2 linked regions of the Anolis sagrei genome follow. The protein of the gene in region 2 interacts with the protein of the main gene of each other region in a pairwise test. Links are inferred from orthologs where the notes say so. Each region holds a gene or a part of one and is shown on either strand. Other genes may lie near its edges. The genes, in order: EHD1 and RBSN.

The links.
Region 1: the proteins of RBSN (region 2) and EHD1 interact in binary tests that used the Homo sapiens proteins (3 or more experiments, as listed by UniProt). The link is inferred for Anolis sagrei from reciprocal best matches to the Homo sapiens genes RBSN and EHD1.

What each region holds. Positions count from the first base shown.
Region 1 is NC_090032.1:20,360,356-20,376,615, reverse strand, and holds the start of EHD1 (EH domain-containing protein 1), read right to left. Parts: upstream 8,255-16,260; 5' UTR 8,069-8,254; coding exon 8,050-8,068; intron 4,672-8,049; coding exon 4,254-4,671; intron 1-4,253. UniProt on the Homo sapiens protein: ATP- and membrane-binding protein that controls membrane reorganization/tubulation upon ATP hydrolysis. In vitro causes vesiculation of endocytic membranes. Acts in early endocytic membrane fusion and membrane trafficking of recycling endosomes.
Region 2 is NC_090022.1:50,743,963-50,759,742, reverse strand, and holds the start of RBSN (rabenosyn-5), read right to left. Parts: upstream 5,907-15,780; 5' UTR 5,746-5,906; intron 1-5,745. UniProt on the Homo sapiens protein: Rab4/Rab5 effector protein acting in early endocytic membrane fusion and membrane trafficking of recycling endosomes. Required for endosome fusion either homotypically or with clathrin coated vesicles.

The sequences.
Region 1 (16,260 bases), on a different chromosome or scaffold from region 2:
GGAAAGAGAAAAGGAAAAAAAGACAAAAGGGAAGGAGGAAGGAAAGAGAGAAGGAAGGGAGGAAGAGAAGGATGGAAGGAAGGGATAAAGGAAAGGGGGAAGGAAGAAAAGACAAAAGGAAAGGAAGGAAGGAGAAAGAGGGAGAGAGGGAAGGAAGGACGAAAGGATGGAAGAGAAGAATGGAAGGAGGAAGGAAAGAGAGGAAGGAGGGAAGAGGGAAGGAAAGACAAAAGGGAAGGAAGGGCGGAAGAGAAAGATGGATGGAAGGAAGGGAAGGATAAAGGAAAGAGAGAAGGAATGACAAAATGGAAGGAAGGAAGGAGAAAGAGGGAGAGAGGGAAGGAAGGACGAAAAGATGGAAGAGAAGGAGGAAGGAAAGAGAGAAAGGAAGAAGGAGGAAAAAGGGAAGGAGAGACAAAAGGGAAGGAAGGGAGGAAGAGAAAGATGGATGGAAGGAAGGGAAGGAGAAAGGAAAGAGAGAAGGAAGGAAAGACAAGAAGGAAGGAAGGAAGGAGAACAGAGAGAGGGAGGGAGAAAAAAGAGGGATGGAAGTAGGATAAGAGAGGAGGGCCCGCAAAAACTGTCCAAGGGGCCACATCCATACATATTCACGGTTGAATGTACACTTAAACCCTCCTATAAGTTCAGCATTTACTAACCCTCCTTCTGGTCTCAACACGAGAAACTTTGCAAGCTCTTGAATGCCATCTGTGACAGCAGAGCAAACAATGGTCAGCGCTACGTGTGTCATGCGGTGTGCTTTTAAAGCCCCTTTGGATGCCAAGGGAAACTCAATGGGAACACGCTCAGTCCATGGAAAAATGCAACTTTGTGAATGGGTTGTTGCAGGTTTTTTCGGGCTATATGGCCATGTTCTAGAGGCATTCTCTCCTGACATTTCGCCTGCATCTATGGCAAGCATCCTCAGAGATAGTGAGGTCTGTTGGAAGTAGGAAAAAGGGTGGAATGACCAGGGTGGGACAAAGGACTCTTGTCTGCTGGAGCTAGGTATGAATGTTTCAACTGACCACCTTGATTAGCATTTGATTGCCTGGCAGTGCCTGGAGCAATCTTTTGTTGAGAGATGATTCGATGTCCTTGTTTGTTTCCTCTCTGTTGTTGTGCTGTTGTAATGTTAGAGTTTTTTAATACTGTTAGCCAGATTTTGTTCATTTTCATGGTCTCTTCCTTTCTGTTGAAATTGTCCACATGCTTGTGGATTTCAGTGGCTTCTCTGTGTAGTCTGACATGGTGGTTGTTGGTGTGGTCCAGCATTTCTGTGTTCTCAAATAATATGTTGTGTCCAGGTTGGTTCATCAGGTGCTCTGCTGGACACAACATATTGAGAACACAGAAATTGTTCACACCTAGCTCCAACAGACAAGAGTCCTTTGTCCCACCTTGGTCATTCCACAGATATATAAACCCACTTTCCTAGTTTCAACAGACCTCACTCCCTCTGAGGATGCTTGCCATAGATGCAGGCGAAACGTCAGGAGAGAATGCTTCTAGAAAATGGCCATATAGCCCAAAAAAACCTACAACAACCCAGTGATTCCGGCCATGGAAGCCTTCGACAACTTTGTGAATGCGACAACTGAAGCGCCACCAGATAACGGTGACCGATTAGAGCTGCGCCCAAACTAATAACAATTAATGTCAGCACAAAAAAATGTACGCAAACAGCCCATAGGCAATAAAAAACTATATAGGGCGGGGGACGTCGGACTTGAAAATTGTCAAAGACCACAAACCGAACATGAGTCAACAGTGTGATGCTGCAGCAAAAGAAGCCAATGTGATTCCAAGTCGGCATCAGTAGTGTCTAGCAAAAGGGGGCTGGACTGGATGGCCTTTGGGGTCTCTTCCTAACTTATAGGATTCTATGATACTGTGGAAGAAAAGGTTACTTTTGTTCAGATTGTCCAGTTCCAGAACTACTATTACTACTACTACTACCATTATTATTATTATTGTTGTTGTTATTATTATTGCTATGTTTACCTATTTGTTTGTTTTTTTTCTCCCTAGTTTAAAGAGTTTGTCATATTCAGGACATCTTTAGTAGTAGTAGAAATAAGAACCCCCTCCAGCCAAGTTACTTTTTCCACACTCCATCACTTGGAACTTCTTTAGAAAGGAAAAATGGTTAATTAAGGGGGCGGGAGGTACTTTTTCGAATCCTCAAGAGTTGGGGCCAGAAAAAGTAACTTCCAAGGGCTGGAGGGTGTGAAAAAAGGAACTACCAAGAGCTGGTGGTCTGAAAAAAGTAAGTTCCACCGGATGGGGGTCCTGAAAGTAACTTCCTAGAGACAGGGATCCTTTAAAAAGTGAGTTCCATGGGAAAAGGGTCCTAAAAAGTAACTTCCAAGGGATGGGGGTCCTAAAAATAACTTCCATGGGATAGGAATCATAAAAAGTAACTTCTGAGGGCTGGACGTCTAAACAAAGTAACTTCCATGGTATGGGGGGGAGGTCCTAAAAAGTAATTTCCATGGGATAGGAGTCTTAAAAAGTAACTTCCAAGGGCTGAAGGTTTTAAAAAAGTAACTTCCATGGGATAGGAGTCCTAAAGAGTAATTTCCAAGGGCTGGAAGTATGAAAAAAGTAACTTCCATGGGATGGGGGGGTCATAAAAACTAACTTCCAAGGGCTGGAGGTCTTAAAAAAGTAACTTTCATGGGACGGGGGGGGGGGGGGTTCATAAAAACTAACTTCCAAGGGCTGGAGGTCTAAAAAAAGTAACTTTCATGGGATGGGAGTCCTAAAAAGTAACTTTCAAGAGCTGGAAGTCTGGTAAAAGTATCTCCCATGGGCTGGAGGTCTGAAAAAAGGAACTTCCAAGGGCTGAAGGTCTAAAAAAAGTAACTTCCAAGGGATAGGAGTCCTAAAAAGTAACTTCCAAGGGCTGAAGGTCTTTAAAAAGTAACTTCCAAGAGCTGGAAGTCTGATAAAAATATCTCCCATGGGCTGGAGATCTAAAAAAAGTAGATTCCAAGGAATTGGGGGGGGGGGGGGGAGTCCTAAAAAGTAACTTCTAAGGGATGGAAGTCTTAAAAAGTAGCTTCTAAGAGATGGAGGTCTGAAAAAGTAACTTCTAAGGGCTGGAGGTCTAAAAAAGTAACTTCCAAGGGATAGGTGGTCTATAAAAAGTAACTTCCAAGAGATGGGGGCCCTAAAAAGTAACTTCTAAGAGATGGAGGTCTGAAAAAAGTAACTTCCAAGAGCTGGAAGTCTGATAAAAGTATCTCCCATAGGCTGGAGGTCTGAAAAAAGTAGATTCCAAGGGATGGGGTTCTGAAAAAGTAACTTCTAAAGGATGGAGTTCTGAAAAAAAGTAACTTCTAAGGGATGGGGGTCCAAAAAGAGGAGCTTCCAAGGGATGGGGTTCTGAAAAAGTAACTCCTAAGGGATGGAGTTCAATGGTATGGGGGTCCTAAAAAGTAATATGCAAGGGGAGAGGCCTAAAAAACTTCCATAGGATAGGAGTCCTAAAAAGTAACTTCCAAGAGATGGTGTTCCTAAAAAGTAACTTCTAAAGGATTTAGGTCTGAAAAAAGTAAACTTCCAATTGCTGGAGTCTGAAAAGAGTAAACTTCCAAGAGGTGGGGTTCCTAAAAAGTAACTTCCAAGGGATGTGGGGTCCTAAAAAGTAACTTCTAAGGGATGGAGATCTAAAAAAGTAACTTCCAAGAGATGGGGGCCCTAAAAAGTAACTTCTAAGAGATGGAGGTCTGAAAAAAGTAACTTCCAAGGGATAGGAGGTCTATAAAAAGTAACTTCCAAGGGTGGAGTTCCTAAAAAGTAATTTCCAAGAGCTGGAAGTCTGATAAAAGTAACTTCCAAGGGATAGGAGGTCTATAAAAAGTAACTTCCAAGAGATGGGGTTCCTAAAAAGTAACTTTAAGGGCTGGAGGTCTAAAATAGTAACTTCCAAGGGATGGGGGTCTAAAAAAGTAACTTCCAAGGGATAGAGGTCTTAAAAAGTACCTTCTAAGGGATGGAGATCTAAAAAAGTAACTTCCAAGAGATGGGGGCCCTAAAAAGTAACTTCTAAGGCATGGAGGTCTGAAAAAAGTGACTTCCAAGGGAGGCCTGGGCCAACTTGGGCCTTCGAGGTGTTTTGGACTTCAACTCCCACAAGGCCTAGCGGCCCAGGACCCTTCCTCTGGAAGGGTCCTGGCCCGCTAGGCCTTGTGGGAGTTGAAGTCCAAAACATTGAAGAGCAGGCCCAAGCCTTGTGGGAGTCTCACCTGTTGAGGAAGGCGTTCCCGAAGGCGCCGAGCTTGCGGAAGGGGCGCCGGGGGTCGACGACGAGGGCGTTCCCGGGCACGACGCCCTCGGCCTCCCCGCCCATGACGGCGATGAAGGAGTCTGTGGTGGGCTCGGGCCCGATGCGCATGCCGGGGAAGTCCTGCTCGAGCAGGTGGCGGATGAAGGTGGTCTTCCCGGTGGAGTACTGGCCCACCAGCAGCACCATCGGCTTGCTCTCCCAGTCCGCGCCCTCCAGCGCCGGGGAGTGGAACTCGTGGAAGCGGTACTGCTCCTCCAGCGGGAGCAGCTTCCCCGCGTACAGCTGCCGCAGACCCTCCGACACCGTGCGGAACAGCTCCGGCTCCTTGCGACGGCGCGCGTCCCGGCTCACCCAGCTGAACATCGTCGAGCCCCCCACTGAGGGAAGGAAATAACACCACTGTCTCACTCACTCACTCGCCGGAGCTCCTCCGCCCGCGGCGCCTCACGCCTCACTGGACGCACGCCGCCGAGGGACCTGCCTTTTATAGCGGCCACGCCCCCCTATGCTGATTGGCTCCCCCCTCTCCTCAACGTTCTGTCCCCGCCCATTTCTCCACAGCAGTCAAAGCCCCGCCCCTTGATCCAGCATTTTTGAATCCTTACTCACTGCTCTGACTTCAAGCATGAAAGTCCCCGCCCACTGTTCTGACGTCATTCTTCCCGCCCCTTTGCTAAAACCGGCTGCTGATTGGCTCCCCTTCTCTTCTATGTTCTTCAAAGCCACGCCCATTTATCTACATTTTTAAAATCCCCGCCCACTTCTCTGACGTCATTCCTCCCGCCCAAGGGATGGAAGTTACATGGGAGATAGAAGACCTAAAAAGTAACTTCCAAGGGCTGGAGGTCTAAAAAAGGAACTTTCATGGGATGGAAGGGGGTCATAAAAAGGAACTTTCATGGGATGGGAGTCCTAAAAAGTAACTTCCAGGGGATGGAGGTCTAAAAAAAGTAACTTCTAAGGGATGGAGGTCTTTAAAAAGTAACTTTTATGGGATGGGGGTCCTAAAAATAACTTTCATGAGATGGGAGTCTTAAAAAGTAACTTCCAAGGGAGGAGGTCTTTAAAAAGTAACTTTTATGGGATGGGGGGGTCCTAAAAAGTAACTTCCAAAGGATGGAGGTCTAAACAAAGTAACTTTCATGGAACGAGGGGGTCCTAAAAAGTAACTTCCAAGGGATTTTAAAATCCCCGCCCACTACTCTGACGTCATTCTTCCCGCCCCTTTGCTACAACCGGCTGCTGATTGGCTCCCCTTCTCCTCTATGTTCTTCAAAGCCACGCCCATTTATCTACATTTTTAATCTGACATGCAAGTCCCCGCCCACTTCTTGACGTCATTCTTCCCGCCCCTTTGCTATAACCGGCTGCTGATTGGCTCCCCGTCTCTTCAACATTCTTCAAAGCCCCGCCATTGATTTTAGCATTTTTAAAAACCCCGCCCACTGCTCGGACATGCAAGTCCACGCCCACTTCTCTGACGTCATTCTTCCCGCCCCTTTGCTAAAACCGGCTGCTGATTGGCTCCCCTTCTCCTCAACATTTGTCAAAGCCCCGCCCATTAATTGTACAATCCCCGCCCACTTCTCTGACGTCATTCTTCCCGCCCAAGGGATGTAAGGGGGGGTGCCAAAAAGTAACTTCCATGGGATAGGAGTCCTAAAAAGTAACTTCCAAGGGCTGGAGGTCTTAAAAAGTAATTTTTATGGGATGGGGGTCCTAAAAAAAGTAACTTTTATGGGATAGGAGTCCTAAAAAGTAACTTCCAAGGGATGGAGGTCTAAACAAAGTAACTTTAATGGATGGGTGGTCATAAAAAGTAACTTCCATGGGACAGGAGACCTAAAAAGTAACTTCCAAGGGCTGGAGATCGAAAAAAGTAACTTTCGAGGGATGGAAGGGGGTCCTAAAAAGTAACTTCCATTGGATAGGAGTCCTAAAAATTAATATCCAAGGACTGGAGGGTCTGAAAAAAGGAGTTTCCAAGAGAAGGGGTTCCTAAAAAGTAACTTCCAAGGGCTGGAGATCTTTAAAAAGTAATTTTCATTAGATGGGAGGTCCTAAAAAGCAACTTCCAAGGGATGGAGGTGTAAAAAAGTAACTTTTATGGGATGGGAGTCCTAAAAAGTAATTTCCAAGTGCTGGAGGTCTAAGCAAAGTAACTTTCATGGGATGGGAGTCCTGAAAAGTAACTTCCAAGGGATGGAGGTCTAAAAAAGTAACTTTCATGGGATGGAAGGAGGTCCTAAAAAGCAACTTCCATGGGATAGGAGTCCTAAAAAGTAACTTCCAAGGGCTGGAGGTCTAAAAAAAAGGAACTTTCATGGAATGGGGGGATCCTAAAAAGTAACTTCCATGGAATAGGAGTCCTAAAAAGTAACTTCCAAGGGCTGGATGTCTAAAAAAAGTAACTTCCATGGGCCGGAGGTCTAAAGGAAGTAACTTTCATGGGATGGGGGGACGGGGCCCTAAAAATAACTTTCATGGGATGGGAGTCCTGAAAAGTAACTTCAAAGGGCTGGAGGTCTAAAAAAAATGAACTTCCATGGAAAGGGGGGATCCTAAAATGTAACTTCCAAGGGAATGGGGGGGGGGTCCTAAAAAGTAACTTCCAATGGAATGGGGGGGTCCTAAAAAGTAAGTTCCAATGGAATGGGGGGTCCTAAAAAGTAACTTCCAAGGGAATGGGGGGGTCCTAAAAAGTAACTTCCAAGGGAATGGGGGGATCCTAAAAAGTAACTTCCAATGGAATGGGGGTCCTAAAAAGTAACTTCCAAGGGAATGGGGGGGTCCTAAAAAGTAACTTCCAAGGGAATGGGGGGGTCCTAAAAAGTAACTTCCAATGGAATGGGGGGGGTCCTAAAAAGTAAGTTCCAATGGAATGGGGGGTCCTAAAAAGTAACTTCCAATGGAATGGGGGTCCTAAAATGTAACTTCCAAGGGAATGGGGGGGGGTCCTAAAAAGTAACTTCCAAGGGAATGGGGGGTCCTAAAAAGTAACTTCCAAGGGAATGGGGGTGGTCCTAAAAAGTAACTTCCAAGGGAATGGGGGGGTCCTAAAAAGTAACTTCCAAGAGAATGGGGGGTCCTAAAAAGTAATTCCCAAGGGAATGGGGGGATCCTAAAAAGTAACTTCCAAGGGAATGGGTGGTCCTAAAAAGTAACTTCCAAGGGAATGGGGGTACAAAAAAGTAACTTCCAAGGGAATGGGGGGGGTCCTAAAAAGTAACTTCCAAGGGCTGGAGGTCTGAAAAAAGTAACTTCCAAAGGAATGGGGGGGGTCCTAAAAAGTAACTTCCAAGGGCTGGAGGTCTGAAAAAAGTAACTTCTAAGGGAGGCCTGGGCCAAGAGGTGTCTACAGACAACAGGCTCCTTGGCTTGGAAATGGAACGCGAGCGCCTCCTCCTGGCCAGAGTTGAGCACTGCCTTCAGCACGCCGGAAATGAAAGGGGAAGCCTTTACCTTTGTGTATTTGTCATATCATCGCTATTCCGCTGTATTCAAGCCTTGACTGGCTTTTTCTAATATTTTCACAAACCCCGATGACATCTAGACACTTGATAATCCAAGAATATACACAGAAAGGCAAACTTTCAATGCCTTGGAGACAGTGGAATAACAATAACATGTAAATACACAAAGGTAGAGGCTTCCCCTTTCATTTCCGGCTTATTATTGGAATAGAATGAGTATTATTGGAATCGGTAGTTCACCCCATTGAATTCCTACTGAAACACACAAATTCGGAGGGTCACCTGAGGTCCCTTCGTCCATTTCGGCTCCTTCATGTGTTCTTTCAGCATCAGCGGTTGAGCCGGAACCCGGCTTCTTTGTGAACAGGGCCGGGTTCTAGAACCGGGGTTCTAGAACCTTGAGAATTTCCTTCCCTTCTTCGCATGAGAGGTGTTTTGGACTTCCAACTCCCAGAATGACTACTACAACTAATAATCATCATCATAATTAATAATCATAATAATAATTAATAATAATAATTACTACTACTACTACAACTAAGAGGTGTTTTGGACTTCCAACTCCCAGAATTACTACTACTAATAATAATCATCATAATTAATAATAATAAATAATAATAATAATAATTACTACTACTACTACAACTAAGAGGTGTTTTGGACTTCCAACTCCCAGAATTACTACTACTACTAATAATAATAATAATAATTAATAATAATAATTACTACTACTACTACAACTAAGAGGTGTTTTGGACTTCCAACTCCCAGAATTACTACTACTAATAATAATAATAATAATAATTAATAATAATAATTACTACTACTACTACAACTAAGAGGTGTTTTGGACTTCCAACTCCCAGAATTACTACTACTAATCATCATCATCATCATAATTAATAATAATAATTAATAATAATAATTACTACTACTACTACAACTAAGAGGTGTTTTGGACTTCCAACTCCCAGAATTACTACTACAACTAATAATAATAATCATAATTAATAATAATAATAATAATAATAATTACTACTACTACTACTGATGCAGAGCATCTCCCCCCCCCCCCCCCCAAGTATTTGAAGTTCGCCAAGGGCCGGAAAATGGATTCTGCTGCTTCCTGACCCAGCGCACATAACTGGGTTCCTGTTTCCTCTCTGTGAATTCTCTGGCTTGTGCACTGGACCCTGGCCCCTGATCAGGGAAATGTAGTTCTCCAAAGGACATTGCCCCACTCTCCACCATTTGCGGACTCTTTGCGAACCTTTCTGCCCTCACTGATTGACTTAATGCCCTAGCATCACGGACTTCCTCCCTGAACTCCAAAAGCCAAGCCGCTTCTGAAGTATGGCCCCCGCCTGTGGGTGCATGCCCTTGTTGCAAAGGATCATACCTCAGGAACTCTGCTGATTGCCTTTATTAATTGCTGTGGGTTTTCTAATAAACTTCGCTGGGATGGGGATCTTTCCTATGAAATCTATGAGTTATGAAAGACTGTGAAGAATATATATATGAAGTATATGATATGTAATGAGGTGAAATGAAATAAGATGTACCCTCACCCCTCTCCTTGCCTTCCCCCTCTTGAACTTTACCCTATAAAAGAATATGTGACCTGGGGATTACAGTTAAGGAAATCCAATTTCCTTGGAAGAAACTCCATCCATACTGACAATGCATGGACAAATGCTGGCAAATCTATGGCTTTGTTTTTCAGAGTCAGACAAACAAGGGCCAGAGATTTTGTCAGCCAAAAGCCCGGAAAAACAGACTGATTAAATCAATCATGGTGCTTGTGTATGCTCCCTTGTGTCAAAGGATTTCCTTTGCCTACAGGGTTGAGATCCAGACACCACCCATAGCCACCCTTTTTGCCTATACACATCTTTTATCAGGACCCAGGAAATCCCTTGTTCTCCCCATCCGCCTCCCTGCCGGGAAGAGACAAAAGGTGTTCCATCAGCTGGCAGACGCCTCCCAGGCATTCCGCCCCTCTGCGCTGTCAAACTAGAGCCCGCCTCCTGGCCGCTGATTGGACAATCTCCGGAGGCGCTCCGAGGGCTCTGATTGGTCCTCTGGAGGCAACAGCGGCCGGCGATTGGAGGGAGGGTGGGACCAGCAACCAAGCCTCCTCCCAGCTGTTCCGGGGCCGGCCAATCAGGACAGAGGGAACTGACAGGAGGCGGGCGGGGGATTCAAACCGGGATTTCTTTGTTTTGCCTGTATAAATATGCCTGAAATTCACTGTACTGTATGCTTATAGAGGAAATATCCCTGTAATGCATCCTTTTCAGCTGAATCGCAAAATAAACGCTTCAGTCACTGGATACCTCTTCAGCCTCTGGTGGGATTAATTCTTAATATTTTTGCGCTTTGGATTGGCTTTTGCTGGCAGCTCACCAAGGTCAAAGATCCCTTTTGCGATCTCCAGGGATCTTCCCTGCTGGGAAGACCCTCCCAAAAGAGCTCGATATCACTACTACAACTAATGACATTTTTATAAATAAATTAATAATGATAAAGGTAAAAAAATAATCCATTCTTTTTGTAAATAAATAAATAATAAAAATAATTAAATAATAATAATAATAATGGTAAATTTAATGAATTCTTTTAATTAATAAATATATAACAATAAAGGTAAAAATAATCAATTCTTTTTATAAATAAATAATAAAAGTAAATAAATTCTTTTAATAAATAATAATAATAATAATAATGGTAAATATAATGAATTCTTCTTATAAATAAATCAATAATGATAAAGGTAAAAAATAATAAATTCTTTTTATAAATAAATAATAATAAAAGTAAATAGAATAAATTCTTTATTATAAATAAATAAATAATGTTAAAGGTAAAAGTAATGAATTCTTTTTATACATAAATTAATAATAATAATGGTAAAAATAATGAATTCTTTTTATACATAAAATAATAATAATAATAATGGTAAAATAATAATTTATTTTTATAAATAAATAATAATAAAGACAAAAGTAACGAATTCTTCTTGAATTGCCTCCAGAACATGGCCATATAGCCCGGAAAAACCTACAATAACCCAATAATAATAATGGTAAATATAATAAATGCTTTTAAATAAATAAATAAATAATAACAACAAAGGTAAAAATAATAAATTCTTTTAATAAAAATAATAATAAATAAAGGTAAAAATAAGGAATACTTTTAATTAATAAATAATAATAATAATAAAGGTAGAAATAATGAATTCTTTTTATAAATAAATAAAAATAAAGGTAAAAATAATGAATTCTTTTTATAAATAAATAAACAAATAAAGGTAAAAAATAAATTCTTTTGATAATTAAATATAAATCATAATAAAAATAATTAAAATAATTAAAAATCCTTTTTTATAAATAAATAAATTAATAATAATAATAATAATAAAGGTAAAAATAATAATTAATTTTAACATAAATAAATAAATAATGATAAAGGTAAAAATAATAAATTATTTTGATAATTAAAAAATAATAATAATAATAATAAATTAAATATTCCCTTTTTAAATAAGTAAATAAATAAAATAATCATAATAAAGGTCAAAATAACAAAGCTACACATCCCAAGATCTTATGGCAGTTAAAGTGGTGGCAAAACCGCATTAATGCAAGCGTGTGGGTGCTTCCTACACTCTTTCCAATAGTATTTCCAATATTAAACCCATATTGGAAATACTCTTTTTCCTCTCGTTACTTTAGTGATAGCACTATATTTCCCCTTTTTGCTGCTAAGGCCGAAATCTCACAATGACAGCTTTGTAAACAACGTCTCTCTACAGCCTGAAGTCATATGAGTTGGTTTGCATCAAAGAGGGCCATTCTTCTCAGATAGCAAGGGTGACACTTTCTCGGCCCCAAAAAGTCCCATGACAGACGACTCTGCGAGGAAACAAAAATTATCTCATTATATATTATAAATATATATTCTATATTATAAATATTATTATTTTATTTATTTTATCATATATTATTATATTATATAGAATAATATATAATAATAATAATATGTGAAAATATGTATGTGTTTCCTCCACCACAGACATCCCAGTGTAAACATGTCCAACAGCCCTGCCAATGTCCTCCACCAACACCATACTTCCCACCACTTAAGTAAAGGCTTTCATTTGGGCACAATTCCATCCTAGATTATATGTGTTTCCTCCACCACAGACATCACAGTGTAAACATGTCCAAGAGCCCTGCCAATGTCCTCCACCAACACCATACTTCCCACCACTTAAGTAAAGGCTTTCATTTGGGCACAATTCCATCCTAGATTATATGTGTTTCCTCCACCACAGACATCCCAGTGTAAACATGTCCAAGAGCCCTGCCAATGTCCTCCACCAACACCACACTGCCCACCACTTAAGTAAAGGCTTTCATTCGGGGATAATTTCATACTAGATTGTATGTGTTTCCTCCACCACAGACACCCCAGTGTAAACATGTCCAAGAGCCCTGCCAATGTCCTCCACCAACACCACATGGCCCACCACCAAAGGGAAGGCTTCCATTTGGGGACAATTCCATCCTAGATTGCATGTGTTTCCTCCACCACAGACATCCCAGTGTAAACATGTCCAACAGCCCTGCCAATGTCCTCCACCAACACCACACTGCCCATCACCCAAGTGAAGGCTTTCATATGGAGACAATTCCATCCTAGATTGTATGTGTTTCCTCCACCGCAGACATCCCAGTGTAAACATGTCCAAGAGCCCTGCCAATGTCCTCCACCAACACCATCCTGTACACCACCCAAGGAAAGGCTTTCATACAGGGACAATTCCATCCTAGATTGTATGTGTTTCCTCCACCACAGACATCCCAGTGTAAGCATGTCCAAGAGCCCTGTCAATGTCCTCCACCAACGCCACACTCCCCACCACCCAAGGGAAGGCTTTCATTCAGGGACAATTCAATCCTAGATTGTATGTGTTTCCTCCACCGCAGACACCCCAGTGTAAACATATCCAAGAGCCCTGCCAATGTCCTCCACCAACACCACACTGCCCACCACCCACATGAAGGCTTTCATTCGGGGACAATTCCATCCTAGATTGTATGTGTTTCCTCCACCAAAGACATCCCAGTGTACACATATCTAAGAGCCCTGCCTATGTCATTATATTATATTATATTATATTATATTATTGGCATAGAATAATATCAGCATTATATATCATTATATTTTACTATACCATTATATTGTAATATTATTAGTAATATTACATGCAATATAAATATATATAAGTATAATATCATATTATTATTATGTTGTATTGCATTATAATATTATAAATATTATATGGATATACAATATATTATACTATATTATATTATAAGCATAGTACAATATCAGTGTTATATATCACTAAATTGTATATTATATATTAATAACATAGAACAATATCAATATTATATATTGCTATATTTTATATTATATTAAATTATAATATTGGCATAGTACAATATCAGTAGTATATATCACTAAATTGTATATTATATTATATTATTAGCATAGTATAATATCTGTATTATATATCACTATATTTTACTATACCATTATATTGTGATATTATTAGCAATATTACATGCAATATAAAATATATATAATTATAATATCATATTATTATTATATTGTATTGCATTATAATATTATAAATATTATATGGATATACAACATATTATTAGTAGTATTATATTTATTTATTACTGTTATTTATTTATTATAATGTTATAAATATTATATGTATGCACAATATTATATTATATTATATTGCATTATATTATATTACATTATATTGCATTATATTATATTATATTATATTGCATTATATTATATTATATTATATTATATTGCATTATATTATATTGCATTATATTGCATTATATTGCATTATATTCCATTATATTATATTATATTATATTATATTATATTATATTGTATTATATTGTATTATATTGCATTATATTATATTATATTATATTGCATTATATTATATTATATTACATTATATTGCATATTATATTATATTATATTATATTGCATTATATTATATTATATTATATTATATTGCATTATATTATATTATATTATATTATATTGCATTATATTATATTATATTATATTATTATATTATATTGCATTATATTATATTATATTATATTATATTGCATTATATTGCATTATATTATATTATATTGCATTATATTATATTACATTATATAATATTATATTGCATTATATTATATTATGTTATATTATATTATATTATATTATATTATATTATATTATATTATATTATATTCCATTATATTATATTATATTCCATTATATTATATTATATTATATTATAATCAGAATGGACCTCAAAGCAAAACACTGCCCAAGCCCGCCACCTGGTGGTGAATACCCGCTATAGCAAGCAAGCAACATGCTTATTGATGCTGCCATTGGAAATACACCAACCTGCACATGATGCTCACATGTATGTCTGATGGATTCAAAGCACCTTGGGTGGTCTTGATCTCCCAGAATCCTTTGCAGCACCCACCTACTATAACAGCCCCTCCACTGGAATGGCCAGACTGCTTCCATATGGAGTTGCTGTTACAGCCGATGAGCACCATACGTGTTGGTGGCATTCATGACCTGGAGAAGACGTTCACAACAACAACAACAACAACAACAACAACAAGGATGCTAATGATAATCATAATAATAATAACAACAGCCTGTAGAGTGATCTTGTCTGCTGTGGACTCATCTTGCTGTGTTTCAAATATTAATAATAATAATAATAATAATAATAATAATAATAATAATAATAAAGTATTTGACTCACTTCCCCATTGTTGGATCATCAAATGTCTAGATGTCATCGGGATTTGTGAAAATATCAGACGATCATGCCATCACCGCTCAAGCAGGGAGCTTTGAAATGGCTGAAAAGAAGCTCACCGAAGCTTTAGGTGGTCTTACTGCTTATTACAGGGGAAACCAGCTGATTCCTAATCCATCTACGCAGACGATCATGCCATCACCACCCAAGAAGGAGCTTTGAAGTGGGCAAACAGATGCTCTCTGAAGCTTTAGGTGGTCTTACTGCCTATTACAGGGGAAACCAGCTGATTCCTAATCCATCTATGCAGACGATCATGCCATCACCACCCAAGAAGGAGCTTTGAAGTGGGCAAACAGATGCTCTCTGAAGCTTTAGGTGGTCTTACTGCCTATTACAGGGGAAACCAGCTGATTCCTAATCCATCTACGCAGACGATCATGCCATCACCACCCAAGAAGGAGCTTTGAAGTGGGCAAACAGATGCTCTCTGAAGCTTTAGGTGGTCTTACTGCCTATTACAGGGGAAACCAGCTGATTCCTAATCCATCTATGCAGACGATCATGCCATCACCACCCAAGAAGGAGCTTTGAAGTGGGCAAACAGATGCTCTCTGAAGCTTTAGGTGGTCTTACTGCCTATTACAGGGGAAACCAGCTGATTCCTAATCCATCTACGCAGACGATCATGCCATCACCACCCAAGAAGGAGCTTTGAAGTGGGCAAACAGATGCTCTCTGAAGCTTTAGGTGGTCTTACTGCCTATTACAGGGGAAACCAGCTGATTCCTAATCCATCTATGCAGACGATCATGCCATCACCACCCAAGAAGGAGCTTTGAAGTGGGCAAACAGATGCTCTCTGAAGCTTTAGGTGGTCTTACTGCCTATTACAGGGGAAACCAGCTGATTCCTAATCCATCTACGCAGACGATCATGCCATCACCACCCAAGAAGGAGCTTTGAAGTGGGCAAACAGATGCTCTCTGAAGCTTTAGGTGGTCTTACTGCCTATTACAGGGGAAACCAGCTGATTCCTAATCCATCTACGCAGACGATCATGCCATCACCACCCAAGAAGGAGCTTTGAAGTGGGCAAACAGATGCTCTCTGAAGCTTTAGGTGGTCTTACTGCCTATTACAGGGGAAACCAGCTGATTCCTAATCCATCTATGCAGACGATCATGCCATCACCACCCAAGAAGGAGCTTTGAAGTGGGCAAACAGATGCTCTCTGAAGCTTTAGGTGGTCTTACTGCCTATTACAGGGGAAACCAGCTGATTCCTAATCCATCTACGCAGACGATCATGCCATCACCACCCAAGAAGGAGCTTTGAAGTGGGCAAACAGATGCTCTCTGAAGCTTTAGGTGGTCTTACTGCCTATTACAGGGGAAACCAGCTGATTCCTAATCCATCTATGCTGACGATCGTGCCATCACCACCCAAGAAGGGAGGTTTGAGATGGTTGAACAGAAGCTCTCTGAAGCTTTAGGTGCTCTTACTGCCTATGAGAGAGAAAAACCTGCTAATTCCTAATTCATCTATGCTGACGATCATGCCATCACCACTCATGCCACGATGATCGTGCCATCACCATCTATGCT
Region 2 (15,780 bases):
TCCCATTAATATGTTTACAGAGAAATTTATTGAATGTGCAAGTGGCTTATTGCTTTCAAGAGAATGTGCATATGATACAACTTGCAGGGCTAGTATGAAACAATCCACAAGAATTGTGTAAAAGATAAAAACAGAAAAGCTATTTAAAATAGACATACGTGGATAAATGAAGACGCATCCAGCAAACATTCCTAGGATGAGCTGGGCCTTTAACCTTGTCTAGTAAACATTCAACATATTTGATCTACTCCAGTTAGGCAACTGGCTATACAAGAAAAACAAATACGTTAGGGTGGGGCAGATCTGTAACTGTAGCAGAAATGAGAGAAATAAATGTGCAGCTGACCAGACAAGAAGAAAGTGTTAGTTGTGCTTTACAAAATTGTCCTTGCACAATATTTGACTATTTTAGCTTCTCCTACTTTATAAATTTATAACTGTTTATGTCACAAACCCACCCATATGCACAATAGGTGAGATTCCAGATCAATCATGCCTAAAGCAAACTTGTTGAAATCAGATGTAAGTCAAATTTAAGACATGTAGATATCAGTGGGTCTTTTCCAAGCGTGGCTAAGCCTTGACTCATCCTAATATTTCCAATTTGGGCATTTCTCCTTATGTCAGAAATCCATTCAATTATACTATTTATTTAACATATTCCTCTTATAAAGAGTAGTCTTTTTACAAGCAAAATAAAAACTGTAAAAGCTGCCATGGATTACAGCATATCCATGATGACGTGCAGATTACTACTGATATGACTTACTATAGCCCTAGAAGAAGTCACAAATTTCACTACAATTCTCTAAATTTCAGAAAAATCAGTCTAGAAAAAAAGAGTACTCCTACACATCACCATCTCAATCAATTTTTTCTTGCTATCCTAAACACATTTCATTTCGTTTTCAAGATACCTGAAGAAATGGCAATATCCTTAAGGTCTTTATTTCTGCAAAACAGGCTATTATGAGCTGAAATATATGGTTCTACATATTTGTAAACTATGCATCTTTACGTTTAATGCATATTGAAAATGTATAAGATAAATATTCTGTTTCCAATTAGTAATAGTGAGATTTAGGGTGTAAAATATAGCTTAGGTCAGTGTTTCTCAAACTGTGCTCCTCCAGGTGTTTTGGACTTCAGCTCCCAGAAATCCCGGCCACCTTACCAGCTGTAAGTGTGGGAGCACAAAAACATTGGGGGGGGGGGGCAGTTTGGGAAACTCTGGTCTAAGTGATTAATTCGAAGGGGGGGGGGGGTTTTACAAGCAATATGCATTTTGATAGAACCAAGCATCAAGCTGGGGTGCCAATTCAGTAGTTTAATACAATTGTAACAGGACAAGTCTTTTGACGTTTTAAAGACAATAGCTGTTACACCCTAAATAGTAACTGCTACCATAGCCTTTGCCTCTTGCATCATCACAGCTTTCTGCAGAGGAAACTTTCTGCCCAATACACAAATCACTGCATACTCACAGCTTTTGACATACTCATATTCTATTAGGCAACCCCTCACAAAATGGTTTTAACAATTACTAAAGAAAGCAGAGTTCTTCTCTTTGCTTTTCTTGATACATCTCTGATCAAATGGAGACAAGGTGGAAGAATAGGTTTTATCACCTTTAAGTAAAAAAAAAATCAAGCAAGAGGAATGTTCAAACCCAACCATCTAATGGCTATATTGCCCTTCTTTCTGAAATGACCCACAGGAAAATGTAAGAAATGTGTCTTTCCGTTTGCCATAGAAAATTATGCAAACCATTTTATCACCCAAATGGGCAACCACTTCAACTTCATTCCTGTCTGGTTAGAATGGAGTACATATCTAATTTAGCAGGTAAAGAGGGAGAATTGAGGCCACACTACACAAACAGGTTTGGGCAACAGCAAATGCAGGTTACCTCCCTTTTTTGTTCAGATAAGATTCCTCCACATGTGCATAACAGAGAGAAATGGGATAGGTGCTATCTCCCCCTAAAGCAGTGGTTCTCAACCTGTGGGTCCCCAGATGTTTTGGCCTTCAACTCCCAGAAATCCTAACAGCTGATAAACTGGCTGGGATTTCTGGGAGTTGTAGGCCAAAATGCCTGGGGACCCACAGGTTGAGAACCACTGCCCTAAAGGCTGGGCAGGAGTGGGGAATGATTTTCTTGTTTCAGTCTTCAGCAGAGTGGAAACTATTTCTGATCTATCAGGCCTTTCTTTTGAAACACATAACTCTCATATCTAATCTCAATTACAAAGACAGAGCAAGAAAGAGCCAATTCACCATTCAAGCTGTAAAATAAATCCCTGATCTAAAAGCCTGCAGTTGCTTCCCCCTGTAACATTTGAGTATGACATGAAAAGTGATATGTCTTTAAGGTCAACTCATTTTCCATGAAAATCCAAACTGCTTCCTCTTCCATAACCTAATTATTGTTATTGTTGCATCAAGAAAGGGGTGTGGTGGGTCTAGAAAACGTGCACAGATTTCAGTGCCTTTTAAATTCACGTAATAAAGATATTATCGACGGGACTGTTCAAAGAAGGCATACATATACATCCTGTGAATGAAAAGGGTGGGAAGGTGAGGATTGCATATGGCTTGAATACGATACCAATATTTGTGTATTTGTGCTATCATTGAGATATCTGCCATCCAGCTGACATGCCTTGCATTTATATTATTATTATTATTATTATTATTATTATTATTATTATTATTATATTTATACTCTGCTTTATCTTCCCTGAAGGGGACTCAAAGCGGCTCTATTTCTATTCTAATTCACATTCTCCTTCCAACCATAGGTATGATTTTGCTTCATGCACTTGATGTAGTGGACTGGAGGGCATGAGAGCTTATGCAGCTTCAGAGTACCTCTACACCAGGCATGGGCAAACTTCGGCCCTCCGGGTGTTCTGAACTTCAACTCCCACAATTCCTAACAACTGAGTGGCTGGGATGCTGTGTGTTTTCTGTGCTGTATGGCCATGTTCCAGAAGCATTCTCTCCTGCATTTTGCCCACATCTAGGGCAGGCATCCTCAGAGGTTGTGAGGTCTGTTGGGAACTAGGCAAATGGGATTTATTTATATATGTCCAGGGTGGGAGAACGAACCCTTGTCTGCTTGAGGCAGGTGTGAATGTTGCAATTGGTGACCTTGATTGGAATTGAACAGCCTTGCAGCCACAAAGCCTGGCTGCTTCCTGTCTGGGGGAATGCTTTGTTGGGAGTTATTAGCTGTCCAGATGTGAGTGAAACTTCAGGAGAGAATGCTTCTGGAACATGGTCATACAGCCCAAAAAAACTCACAACAGCTAAGTGATTCCAGCTATGAAAGTCTTCAACAGCCAACTGGCTGTTAGGAAATGTGAGAGCTGAAGCCCAAAACACCTGGAGGGCCAAAGTTTGCCCATGCCTGGTGTAGAGGTAATCTGAGGTTCGCCCACTAAAACAAATTTGCCCTCTAGTCCACTTCATCAGATGCACGAAGCAAAGACACCATGCTCTATACTGTAGAATTAATGCAGTTTGACACCCCTTTAACTGGCATGAATAATCGCTACAGAAATAGAGGAGCTGCATGTGATTAGGCACCAGCACTCTTTGACAGATACTTCCACTGTTAAGCAGCTCTTGTTGTCAGGAGATTCTTTGTGGGGATCGCAATTTGGCATGGCACCAGTCCTCGGCAAAAGTATGATAGCTAGGACCCTACGCTCGTTGTGCACTGCGGGTCAGAATTCATGAAGGGAACACATGCATGAGACAGCGAGAGGCGCAGCTGCAAGGGAGGGAAGAGGAGGGGTCTACGGATCACACGTCCTGCCCTCCCGGAGCCCCAGCTCCTCCACTGTCAGAAAGTGGGCGGGGGAAAGCACAAGAAGAGGGGAAGGGGGGAATCCACTTGTAAAAACCTTCCCCAGTCGCCAGCACACTTTTCGCCCTTCGAGTTGGGAGCAGTCCAAGCAGACTTCCCTTCATTAATTCTGACGCGCATTGCACAACCAGCATATGGGTCCCAGATATCATACTTTTGCCCAGTCCTCTGTCAGAGATCTTGCAAAACCTTGCAGGTAAAGTGGGGTGAAATGGCATTCATTCGATAATGTGTAGATGTGCTTTCCCTGCCTTCATGAAGCCCTGGCTCCTCCAGTGTCAGAAAGCAGGCGACAGAAAGCATAAGAAGAAGAGAACAAGCCCTATGAGAAGTGGCTTAAGGAGCTGGGCATGTTTAGTCTGAAGAAGAGAAGGCTGAGAGGAGATATGATAGCCATGTATAAATATGTGAGAGGAAGCCACAGGGAGGAGGGAGCAAGCTTGTATTCTGCCTCCTTGGAGACTAGGACGTGGAACAATGGCTTCAAACTACAAGAGAGGAGATTCCATCTGAATATGAGGAAGAACTTCCTGACTGTGAGAGTCGTTCAGCAGTGGAACTCTCTGCCCCGGAGTGTGGTGGAGGCTCCTTCTTTGGAAGCTTTTAAACAGAGGCTGGATGGCCATCTGTCAGGGGTAATTTGAATGCAGTATTCCTGCTTCTTGGCAGGGGGTTTGGAATGGATGGCCCATGAGTTCTCTTCCAACTCTTTGATTCTATGATTCTAGGGGAAGGGGGGGGGGGTCCTGTTCCTTCCGATCTGTTCGCACTAGGGCAGGGGTCCTCAAACTAAGGCCCGGGGGCCAGATGCAGCTCTCCGAGGTAATTTACCTGGCCCTCGCTCAGGGTCCACCTAAGTCTGAAATTACCTGAAAGCACACAATAACAACAATCCTATCTCAAAAGCAGGCCCACACTTCCCATTGAAATACTAATAAGTTTGTATTTGTTAAAATTGTTCTTCATTATAATTATTGTATTGTTTTAAAGTGTATTTTTGCACTACAAATAAGATATGTGCAGTGTGCATAGAAATTCATTCATGTTTTTTTCAAATTATAATCCGGTCCTCCAACAATTTGAGGAACTGTGACCTGGTCCTCTGTTTAAAAAGTTTGAGGACCCCTGCACTAGGGCCTTGTAAAAACCTTCCTCGGTCTTCCCTTCATTAATTCTGACGCACATTGCGCAACCAGCATATGGGTTCCAGCTATACGTAGGGTCCCAGCTATCATACTTTTTGCCCAGTCCTCTGTCAGAGACCTTACAAAACAGACTTGCTTTTCCAAAGTGCTTTTGTAGATTTGCTTTCCAAAGTGCTACGGGGTTCCTTTTTACACTGAAAACAGACAAAGACGCACGCATCATTCAAATACAAACCAAGGTACATTGGGAATGCATTAAAAACTAACACTTAACAGGGTTTGGGGTGAAAGGGGAGAGGATATATTTCAGGTGTGGGCCAACTTGGGCCTTCCAGATGTTTTGGACTCCAACTCCCACCATTCCTGACAGCCTCAGGCCTTTTCCTTTTCCCCCTCAGCCGCATAAGTCCAAAACACCTGGAAGGCCCAAGTTGGCCCATGCCTGATACATGTTTTAGGTCTGGAAGGCATCCTTGTGTCTCCAGCTCTCCTTCCCAACCTTCCCCCCCCCCCCCCAAAAGGCCCATTTTGGCCTTCCTGATCTATGCAATGCCTTTCCATAGGGATTATATAGGTCTGCCTGGAATACCATCAACCACTCCTTCTCTAAAAAGGCCTCCTTGATGTAGTTATCAATAGACTCTCTGCTGCTGCTCCCCCCCCCCCCCAAATGGAAATGCCTTCACCCCCTGAAAACCAAAGCGCCACGGAGGAGGCGGCCCTCACCTGAAGGAGGGAAGGAGGGAGGGAGGAAGGAAGGGGCGGCGGCACTGAAGAAAGCCAGCGAGGCCCGCCCCGACGGACCCGAGGCGCCAGGCCCCACTTGAGGCCCTCCTCAACTGCAAGGAGCAGCAGCAGCAGCAGCAGGCGCCGCCAGTCGAGCGCCGATGGCAGCGAGCGGGTGCGCGCGCAAGAGAGCGGTAGGGGGCGGGGTCGCGGCTGAAGACGACTGAGATTAAGGGGCGGGGCTACAGGGACTGGCGGCGAGGGCCGAGCAATCGATGGGAAGCAAGGCGGCAAAAGGCGGAAGAGGGGATCATAGAATCAAAGAGTTGGAAGAGACCTCATGGGCCATCCAGTCCAACCCCATTCTGCCAAGAAGCAGGAATATTGCATTCAAAGCACCCCCGACAGATGGCCATCCAGCCTCTGTTTAAAAGCTGAGGCTGTCAGGAATGGTGGGAGTTGAAGTCCAAAACACCTGGAAGGCCCAAGTTGGCCCATGCCTGATACAAGATTTGGGTCTGGAAGACATCCTTGTGTCTCCAGCTCTCCTTCCCAACCTGAAGTGGGGACCTCCTTCTCCCCCAAAAAGGCCCATTTTGGGGGGAGCCTCCACCACACTCCGGGGCAGAGAGTTCCACTGCAGAGAGTTCCACTGCTGAACGGCTCTCACAGTCAGGAAGTTCTTCCTCATGTTCAGGTGGAATTTCCTTTCTTGTAGTTTGAAGCCATTGTTCCGCGTCCTCCTCTCCAAGGAAGCAGAAAACAAAGCTTGCTCCCTCCTCTCTGTGGCTTCCTCTCACATATTTATACATGGCTATCATATCCCCTCTCAGCCTTCTCTTCTTCAGGCTAAATATGCCCAGCTCCTTAAGCCGCTCCTCATAGGGCTTGTTCTCCAGACCCTTGATCATTTTAGTCACCCTCCTCTGGACACATTCCAGCTTGTCAATATCTCTCTTGAATTGTGGTGCCCAGAATTGGACACAATATTCCAAGTGTGGTCTAACCAAAGCAGAATAGAGGGGTAGCATTACTTCCCTGGATCTAGACACTATGCTCCTATTGATGCAGGCCAAAATCCCATTGGCTTTTTTTGCCGCCACATCACATTGCTGGCTCATGTTTAACTTGTTGTCCACGAGGACTCCAAGACCTTTTTCACACGTACTGCTCTCGAGCCAGGCATTGTCCCACATTCTGTATCTTTGCATTTCGTTTTTCCTGCCAAAGTGGAGTATCTTGCATTTGTCCCTGTTGAACTTCATTTTGTTAGTTTTGGCCCATCTCTCTAATGTGTCAAGGTCGTTTTGAATCCTGCTCCTGTCCTCTGGAGTATTGGCTATCCCTCCCAATTTGGTGTCGTCTGCAAACTTGATGATCCTGCCTTCTAACCCTTCATCTAAGTCATTAATAAAGATGTTGAACAGGACCGGGCCCAGGACGGAACCCTGCGGCACTCCGCTCGTCACTTCTTTCCAGGATGAAGAGGAAGCATTGGTGAGCACCCTCTGAGTTCGTCCATTTTACCAATTACAGATCCACCTCACCGTAGTTTTGCCTAGCCCACACTGGACTAGTTTGTTGACACTTCCGCTCCAAATTCATGCCGAGCTCCTTAAGCCGCTCCCAGGGTGGGATGTATTCCTTCCCCTGCAAAGGCAGGCCCATTTAAACCACTGCAGTCCTACTTTTCCAGATGCTTTTAATATTCCCCATTTCTCAGAATTTGTTTTTCCAAATTTTGTTACCCAGTTTGTCCCCCCACTTTTCTTTCCCTTTTTATGAAAAATAGAAAGTAGTGGTTATTTTACAAGTATTTTGTGCATCTCACAGTAGGTTCTTCAATCTAAATATATGCAATAAGTACTTTTAAAGCTTTGTAGAGACCAGTATTCCTGGGCACATTATAATATTGTAGGTGGATAGCTCTTTTATTTTCATAGGCTCATATGAAAACTTAGGTCATAATCATCATCTGTTTTATTTATTTATTTTTGTTGTGTCAGGAGCGACCTGAGAAACTGCAAGTCTCTTCTGGTGTGAAAGAACTGGCCATCTGCAAGGATTTGCCCAGGGGATGGCCAGATTTTTTTTTGTTTGGTTGGGGGTTTTTTGGTTTTATTTTGGGGTTTTTTAATGCTTTACCATCCTTATGGGAGGCTTCTCTCATGTCCCCACATGAGGAGCTGGAGCTGATAGGGGGAGCTCATCCATGCTCTTCCTGGATTCAAACCTGAAACCTGTTGCCCCCTTCCACACAGCTATATAAAATCCACATTGAACTGGATTATATGGCAGTGTGGACTCAGATAATCCAGTTCAAAGCAAATATTGTGGATTATCTGCCTTGATATTCTGAGTTATATGGCTCTGTGGAAGCGCCCTAAGTTACAACACAGCAGCCAGGTGTAATGTGTGCTATCTGTGTTTATAGGTTTTTTTTATAGACTACATGTGTTCTGAGAGTGCCTTGTCCATAAAAGTGTTGTCCATAAAAGTGTGGAAGTTGTCCATAGAGTCATGCTGGAGGACCCACGGCCTTTCTACTAGCCCTATATCCTACAATATCAAGGCAGAAATCCCACAACATCTGCTTTAAACTGAGTTATCTGAGTCCACATTCAGATAATGTGGGATTTTCTGCCTTGACATTCTGGGATATAGGGCTGTGTGGAAGGGCCTCTAGAGAAGTTGGCTATAGAATCACACTAGAGGACCTAGCGTTTTCTAAAAAAATCATTTTAAGAAAAGTCATGAATAACACTATGTAACAGAATTTGGAAAAAAAAATCTGTTCCAGGTTTGTTGTTCATTCGTTCAGTCGCTTCTGACTCTTTGTGACCTCATGGACCAGCCCACGCCAGAGCTCCCTGTCGGCCGTCACCACCCCCAGCTCCTTCCAGTCACTTCAAGGATGCCATCCATCCATCTTGCCCTTGGTTGGCCCCTCTTCCTTTTTCCTTCCATTTTCCCCAGCACCATTGTCTTCTCTAAGCTTTCCTGTCTTCTCATTATGTGACCAAAGTACTTCATCTTTGCCTCTAATATCCTTCCCTCCAATGAGCAGTCGGGCTTTATTTCCTGAAGCATGGACTGGTTCGATCATCTCAAGGTCCAAGGCACTCTCAGAACTTTCCTCCAACAGCACAGTTCAAAAGCATCTATCTTCCTTCACTCAGCCTTCCGTATGGTCCAGCTCTCACATCCATAGGTTACTACAGGAAATACCATTGCTTTAACTGCCAGGTTTGAAAGTGTTATTTCCTATTTAATTATGCTGTACTTACTTTGAAAGTAGTTATTATATTCCAGAAATTGTGTCGTTGCCACAATCTGTTGAATTGGTTGAGACTCGATGAGATATTCATTGAAAAACGATAGCAAAATGTGCTACAGGATGTCTCTCTAAAACAGCATTTCTCAACCTGGGGGTTAAGACACCTGGGGGTCTTGAGGGGGTTTCAGAGGGGTTGCCAAAGACCATCAGAAAACATATATTTCTGATGGTCTTAGGAACTCCTTTGGCAGAGAAGGCTGAAGATCTCTCCACCTGTCCTTCTCTTTCTTTTTGGAAACACACAGCAAATCCTTCCACCAAAAGCCCTCTTCCACTGTTATTGGCCAGCCTCTCAGCCAAGGGGAGGGCTGTTTCTGAGACTCCAAGTGGGGAGGGGAGAGCAGGTGTGCTTGGCGCATGGCAGTATGGTGTGCATGTGCAGGTGAGGGAGAGTGTGTGAGGCTGGAAGGAGGCTTGCTCCAGCGAGTCCTTCAAGGCATGAGGGTTCTGTGTGAGAAGTTTGGCCCAATTTAATCGAAAAGGTTCAGAATGCTCTTTGATTGTAGATGAACTATATATCCCAGCAACTGCAACTCCCAAATGTCAAGGTCTACTTTTCCCAAACTCCACTAGTGTTCATGTTTGGATATATTGAGTATTTGTGCCAAGTTTGGTCCAGATCCATCATTGTTTGAATTCACAGTGCTCTCTGGATGTAGGTGAACTACAACTCCAAAACTCAAGGTCATTGCCCACCAACCCCTTCCAGTATTTTCTGTTGGTCATGGGAGTTCTGAGTGCCAAGACTGGTTCAATTCCATCATTGGTAGAGTTCAGAATGCTCTTTGATTTTAGGTTAACTATAAATCCCAGCAACTACAACTACCAAATGACAAAATCAATCCCCACTCTCCAACCCCATCAGTATTCAAATTTGGGTGTATCGGGTATTTGTGCCAAATTTGGTCCAGTATATGAAAATACATGCTGCATGTCAGATATTTACATTGCAGTTCATAACAGTAGCAAAATTACAGTTATAAAGTAGCAATGAAAATAATGTTATGGTTGGGGATCACCACAACATGAGGAACTGTATTAAGGGGTCACAGCATTAGGAAGGTTGAGAACCACTGCTCTCAAACAAAGTTTTTGCAGTTTAATAAACCTTTTCCATGTTTTTATGATATAATCAATTAGGAAATGACATGCACAGCCCAGGAGCACTTATCATGTTACATATGGCCCTTCCACACAGGCATATAACCCAGAATACCAGGTCAGAGAATTCCACCATATCTGCTTTGAACTGGGTTATCTGAGTCCACACTGCCGTATATTCCAGTTCAAAGCAGAAAATGTGGGATTTTATTCAGCTGGGTGGAAGGGGCCTTATTGTAATCAAATCTGCCAAAGTCCAATCCACAGATCTGGAGGGACAATTGTATAGGGGAGATTGTTTTGACTACAGTTGGGGGAATGAGAATAGATCTTACTGAAGTCCATTCCCGGGGCCCATCCACACAGTCCTATATCCCAGAATATAAAGGCAGAAAACCCCACAATATCTGCTTTGAATTGGGTTACCTGAGTCCACACTGCCATATATTCCAGTTCAAAGCAAATCATGTGAGATTTTATTCAGCTGTGTGGAAGGGACCTTAATTTCCCCTGTGACTAATCTGAATATGGCCTAATTGTTTTTAAAAAAAACATTGTTCTTTTCCTTAATATTAAAAGTGCAAGGCTAAGAGCAAATTGTTATTATAACCAGATAAATAAATGGCATAATGATGCCATTAAGAACTTCTGCTTTAGATATTAGATATTGTATGGCTATTTGAAACGTTTATTGTGTACATAATTGCCATTTCTGCTTTGTCCCCAAAGGTACACTAGCTTCTTTTTCTTTTTAAATAGTATCACATTCACCAAAAGGAATAAGTACTTTTGAAGCAAAAGTCTCATCTTTAGTGATTACTCACAAACAATATCGTCTAATAATTTGTCTAGTACAATTACTGAGTGCTCTGATGACATATAGAAGGAGGGCTACTGGAATAAAGGCAGTGTTCCCTCCTGCTTTAAAAAAGGCTGTGTTGAGGCCATTACTGAAATAAGAGTCATGGCACTGAATAACTGCCAACCAATTCCCATTATTCTTTTTTGGGACATGGCCCTGGAGTGCGTTGTTGACTATCAGCTCCAGGGTTCCTGCATGAAACATATTATCTATCAACTCTGGTCTTCCTGGTGTTTTGGACTTCATCTCCCAGAATCCCTCTCCATTGGTCAAGGCAGCAGAAGCTTCTGGGAGTTGGAAGTCCAAAACACCTGGAAGGACTACAATTTGGAGACCACACTGTCTAGATTCACTTCCATCTGGCTTCAGGCCTGGTTATGGGACAAAGCTTTGCTGCCTTCATTGTGTCACGCAAATAAACCTTTTTTATTTTTCTGGTCTATGCCTTGGATTGGGTCGATCTGAACTAGTAGAACCTCATGGACAGGATGCCGATGGTATTATTCTGGATCAATTCACCTAACATTTCAGAAATGGATCCCTGGAAATGCCTTGTGATAATTTTATGAAGTGGTGCATTCATATACAGCACAAACTCTTTATCCACCGATTCAATAGCCACAGTCACTTATCCGTGCTCCAAAAAATACATGTTTACTACTGGGAGGAGAGCAATGACCAATCTCGATAAAATAGTGAAGAGTAGAGACATCACACTGGCAACCAAGATCTGCATAGCTAAAGCAATGGTATTCCCTGTAGTAACCTATGGATGCGAAAGCTGGACCATAATAAGGAAGAGTGAGCAAAGGAAGATAGACGTTTTTGAACTGTGGCGCTTGAGGAAAATTCTGAGAATACCTTGGACTGCAAGAAGATCAAACCAGTCTGTACTCCAGGAAATAAAGCCCAACCACTCACTGGAGGGAAGAGTATTGGAGGCAAAGATGGAGTATTTTGGCCACATAATGAGAAGACAGGAAAGCTTGAAGAAGACAATGAAAATGGAAAATTGAAGGAAAAAGGAAGAGGGGCTGACCAAGGACAAGATGGATGGAGGGATGGATGGTATCCTTGAAGTGACTGGCTTGACTCTGAAGGAACTGGGGGCGGCCACAGCCGACAGAGAACTCTCGCATGGGCTGGTCCATGAGGTCACGAAGAGTCAGAAGCGAACAAATAAACAACAGCAATATCTTCTATTGTGACTGTATGGTATAATCAAAATATTGGGTTCACTATTACCCATTATTTCAGGTATCGTTGGATCATCTTGAAATGTATCCTCTCTGGAGGGTACAACAAAAATATGCAGAAGCATCAACATATCTGTGTTCAATTTTATATTATGTTATTTTGCTTTGTTTACTTTATTTTGCTATTGTATGTATTTTATTGTGACATGATTTTTGTTGTTTGCATATTTATTTTATTTTACTATGTTGTATCTTTGAGCTTGGCCTCATGTTAGCTGCCCTGAGTCCCCCTCAGGGAGATGGTGGCGGGGCATAAATAAAGATGATGATGATGATGAATATTATTACTATCTTTGTTGAAGGAAACCATTGTGAAGGGAGGAATCTCAAGGAGCCAAGTGAAGTTGGAGCACTTTTGATGGGCATAAAACACTGACTTGCCTATTGGAGGGAAATAGATGGAAACAATGAGGCAGTGAGATAGAAAAGAGAGCTTAGCTGCTTGAAAAGTGGATGGAAGCACTCCACAGTGAAACAGTTTGTTGCAGGTTGCACTTGTAAAGAAAAATAGTTTATAAGATTCAGCAACAAAAGCAATATGGAAGCAGTGTTGTTTTAAAAAGGGTCATAATTTTGCTTTGGCTCATACAATTGTGTCGTTGGGTACTTCCGAAATAAACAGCCAGATTGTAGCTGAGGCCACTAAACATTGCCAGACTAAATCAAAATGCTATTTGTTTTGAAAAATAAGGTTTCATGTTTACTAATCATGAGATTTGAATCTAAGAGGTGGGGTTGGGACGAACTGTGCTAGATTTATTCCTATAAATTCTAGGCAAATCTTAGAACTTGGCACAAGATAAAAAGAAAAGCGCTGGATTCACTTGATACTGTAATTATCATTATTACTATACATACTCTGCAATTAACAGTATTGGTAACCGTGCAATTGGTATCCTTCCCGTACCAATTGCCCTGCGTTCTGGGCAAGAATTTTGTTGGGATCACAGCTGCAGAGGGCAAGGTTGGGATCTCTCAGTGCCCAGCTATTCATATGAAATGTAGAACAAGTTCACGTATTATTAAAGTGGTCTTCCCCCGCCCCACACACCCTACTTAACCTAGGTGCAACTTCCAACAGTACAATAAAAGTAACATCCTTTTTGGTTCTCCAACAATGGGACTGCAGTAATAAGTTGAAACCATCTGTTACACAATGGAGTAGTTCAGCATTCTGCAGTGCTATCCTTGTGTAGTCATACCTTTGGGAATTTAACTGCATAAGGGATACTTATGAGTGAGGAGGAGTAAATAAAGTATATATATTCCGAAGGAGTAGATGTCACTTTCCCAAAGGAGCTGAATACTGCTATTAAAATGTATTGTAAGCAGTACAAAATGTTCATCCATGACATGAGTCACTGAATAAGAACAATGTTCTATGTAAATTCACCCAGGTTTTCTATCAAGCGCACGTTGTTTTAACAAAGTGTTCTTTCGCCCGACCCAAACTAGCAGTTTCAGAGTGCTTCAGTGAAAGAATTTCAGCATGAAATTGAGTATGTCTTCTGAAACTAAATTAATATATGAATGACTGTTGTTGATTTTTAACAACTGTGGATGGCAATTAATTAAGAGAGCAAAGTTGGTTGCAGAAGCTTTTATAGAGTAAAATCCTTATCAGACTACACCTTTATAGCACTATTAGTCTATTTTAACTTCCAGGCCAACATCCTACAGAATCCCAGAAGTTACAGTTTAGGAAGAAGTATTTAGAATTCTCACCCAGGGAGCTCTTGGACCTCACTAAACTACAAACTCCAGAATCCCATGGGATGCAGTATGGTCATTAAAGTGGAATACTATTTATTTATTTATTTATTTATTTATTTATTTATTTACTAGCCATCCCCTGTCACGCGTTGCTGTGGCCCAGTGTAGTGATCTGGAAAATAAAGCAATGCTTGTGGGTAAACAGTATTTTTTGTTGTTTCTTTGTCAGTGTTGATGTGGAGAGTGTCTGGTTTGCCTACTCTGGAACATGCAACATATCATAGTCCTTCTTTAGGGGTCCATTTCAAATCTATGATACTATATCTGTGTGTGAGAATCATTATCTCTCTCTCTCTCTCTCTATCTATCTATCTATCTATCTATCTATCTCTCTATTTATCTTTATGACTGGATGGCTCTTTGTCAGGAGGGCTCTGATTACATTTTCTTGCCCTGGTGAAGAGAGTTGGACTGGGTGGCCTTAAATATTTTCTGTTGGTCATGGGCGTTCTGTGTGGGAAGTTTGCCCCAATTCTGTCGTTCGTGGGGTTCAGAATGCTCTTTGATTGTAGGTGAACTGTGAATCCCAGTGACTACAACTCCCAAATGTCAAGGCCTATTTCCCCCAAACTTCATCTTTGTTCATATTTGGGCGTATTCTTGTGCCAAGTTTGGTCCAGATCCATCATTGTTTGAGTCCACAGTGCTCTCTAGATGTAGGTGAACTACAACTCCAAAACCCAAGGTCAATGCCCACCAAACCCTTCCAATATTTTCTGTTGCACATGGGAGTTCTGTGTGCCAAGTTTGGTTCAATTCCATAATTAATGGAGTTCAGAATGCTCTTTGATTGTAGGTGAACTATAAATCCCAGCAACTACAACTCCCAAATGACAAAATCAATCTCATTAGGAAATAAGTTAAGTCCACTTCTTAATGATCTGAGAGTTATCAGGGCTTTAAAACACAGTTGGACAAGGCAGGTTGTAGTCACTAGGTGGTGCAATTAGAACATCTGACTTGTCTTTTGTATCACAAGAGAGGCAACTAGTCTGAGAGATGCAAGTGCCTTTTTGCAACTGAACAGATGTAGATGAGCAATGTCTCAGTTCATAGTTCACTAATATTCCTTCTCTTTTAAAACATTAGCATGAAGTGTCTTTTCTTACTGTCGCTGTTTAAAATAGTTAAAAGAATCTAAAAATACTAATAATTTTCTCCAGAATTGGGTTTCCATGGCAAAAAATCTATCTTGTCACTCAAAATGTAATGAGTGTTATCCCCTTGGATGGTAATTACTAAAAACTGGAAGAGTGCAATGAGTTTTTCTGGTATTGGAAAACAAATTAAAGAATGTATTGTCGAAGGCTTTCATGGCCGGAATCACTCAGTTCTTGTGGGTTTTATATAACCCACAAGATATATAAACCCCTTTTTCCCAGCTCCAGCAGACCTCTGAGGATGCTTGCCATAGATGCAGGCGAAACGTCAGGAGAAATGCCTCTAGAACATGGCCATATAGCCCGAAAAAACCCACAAGAACTGAGAAATTAAAGAATGTTGCATTAATGGAAACTGGAAGAGAGGAGAAGAAAAGGGCATATATAATTCCACATGCCTTGGATTTGAAGAAGAAAAAACACACTTGATAGTATAAAATAATGTAGCAGCTGCTAGAAATTGCCAAAAAAATAGCCAGGAGCAACAGAAGCATTGCTAGATATATTTTTAAAAAAACCACAGGAATTACAGCAACACATACCACA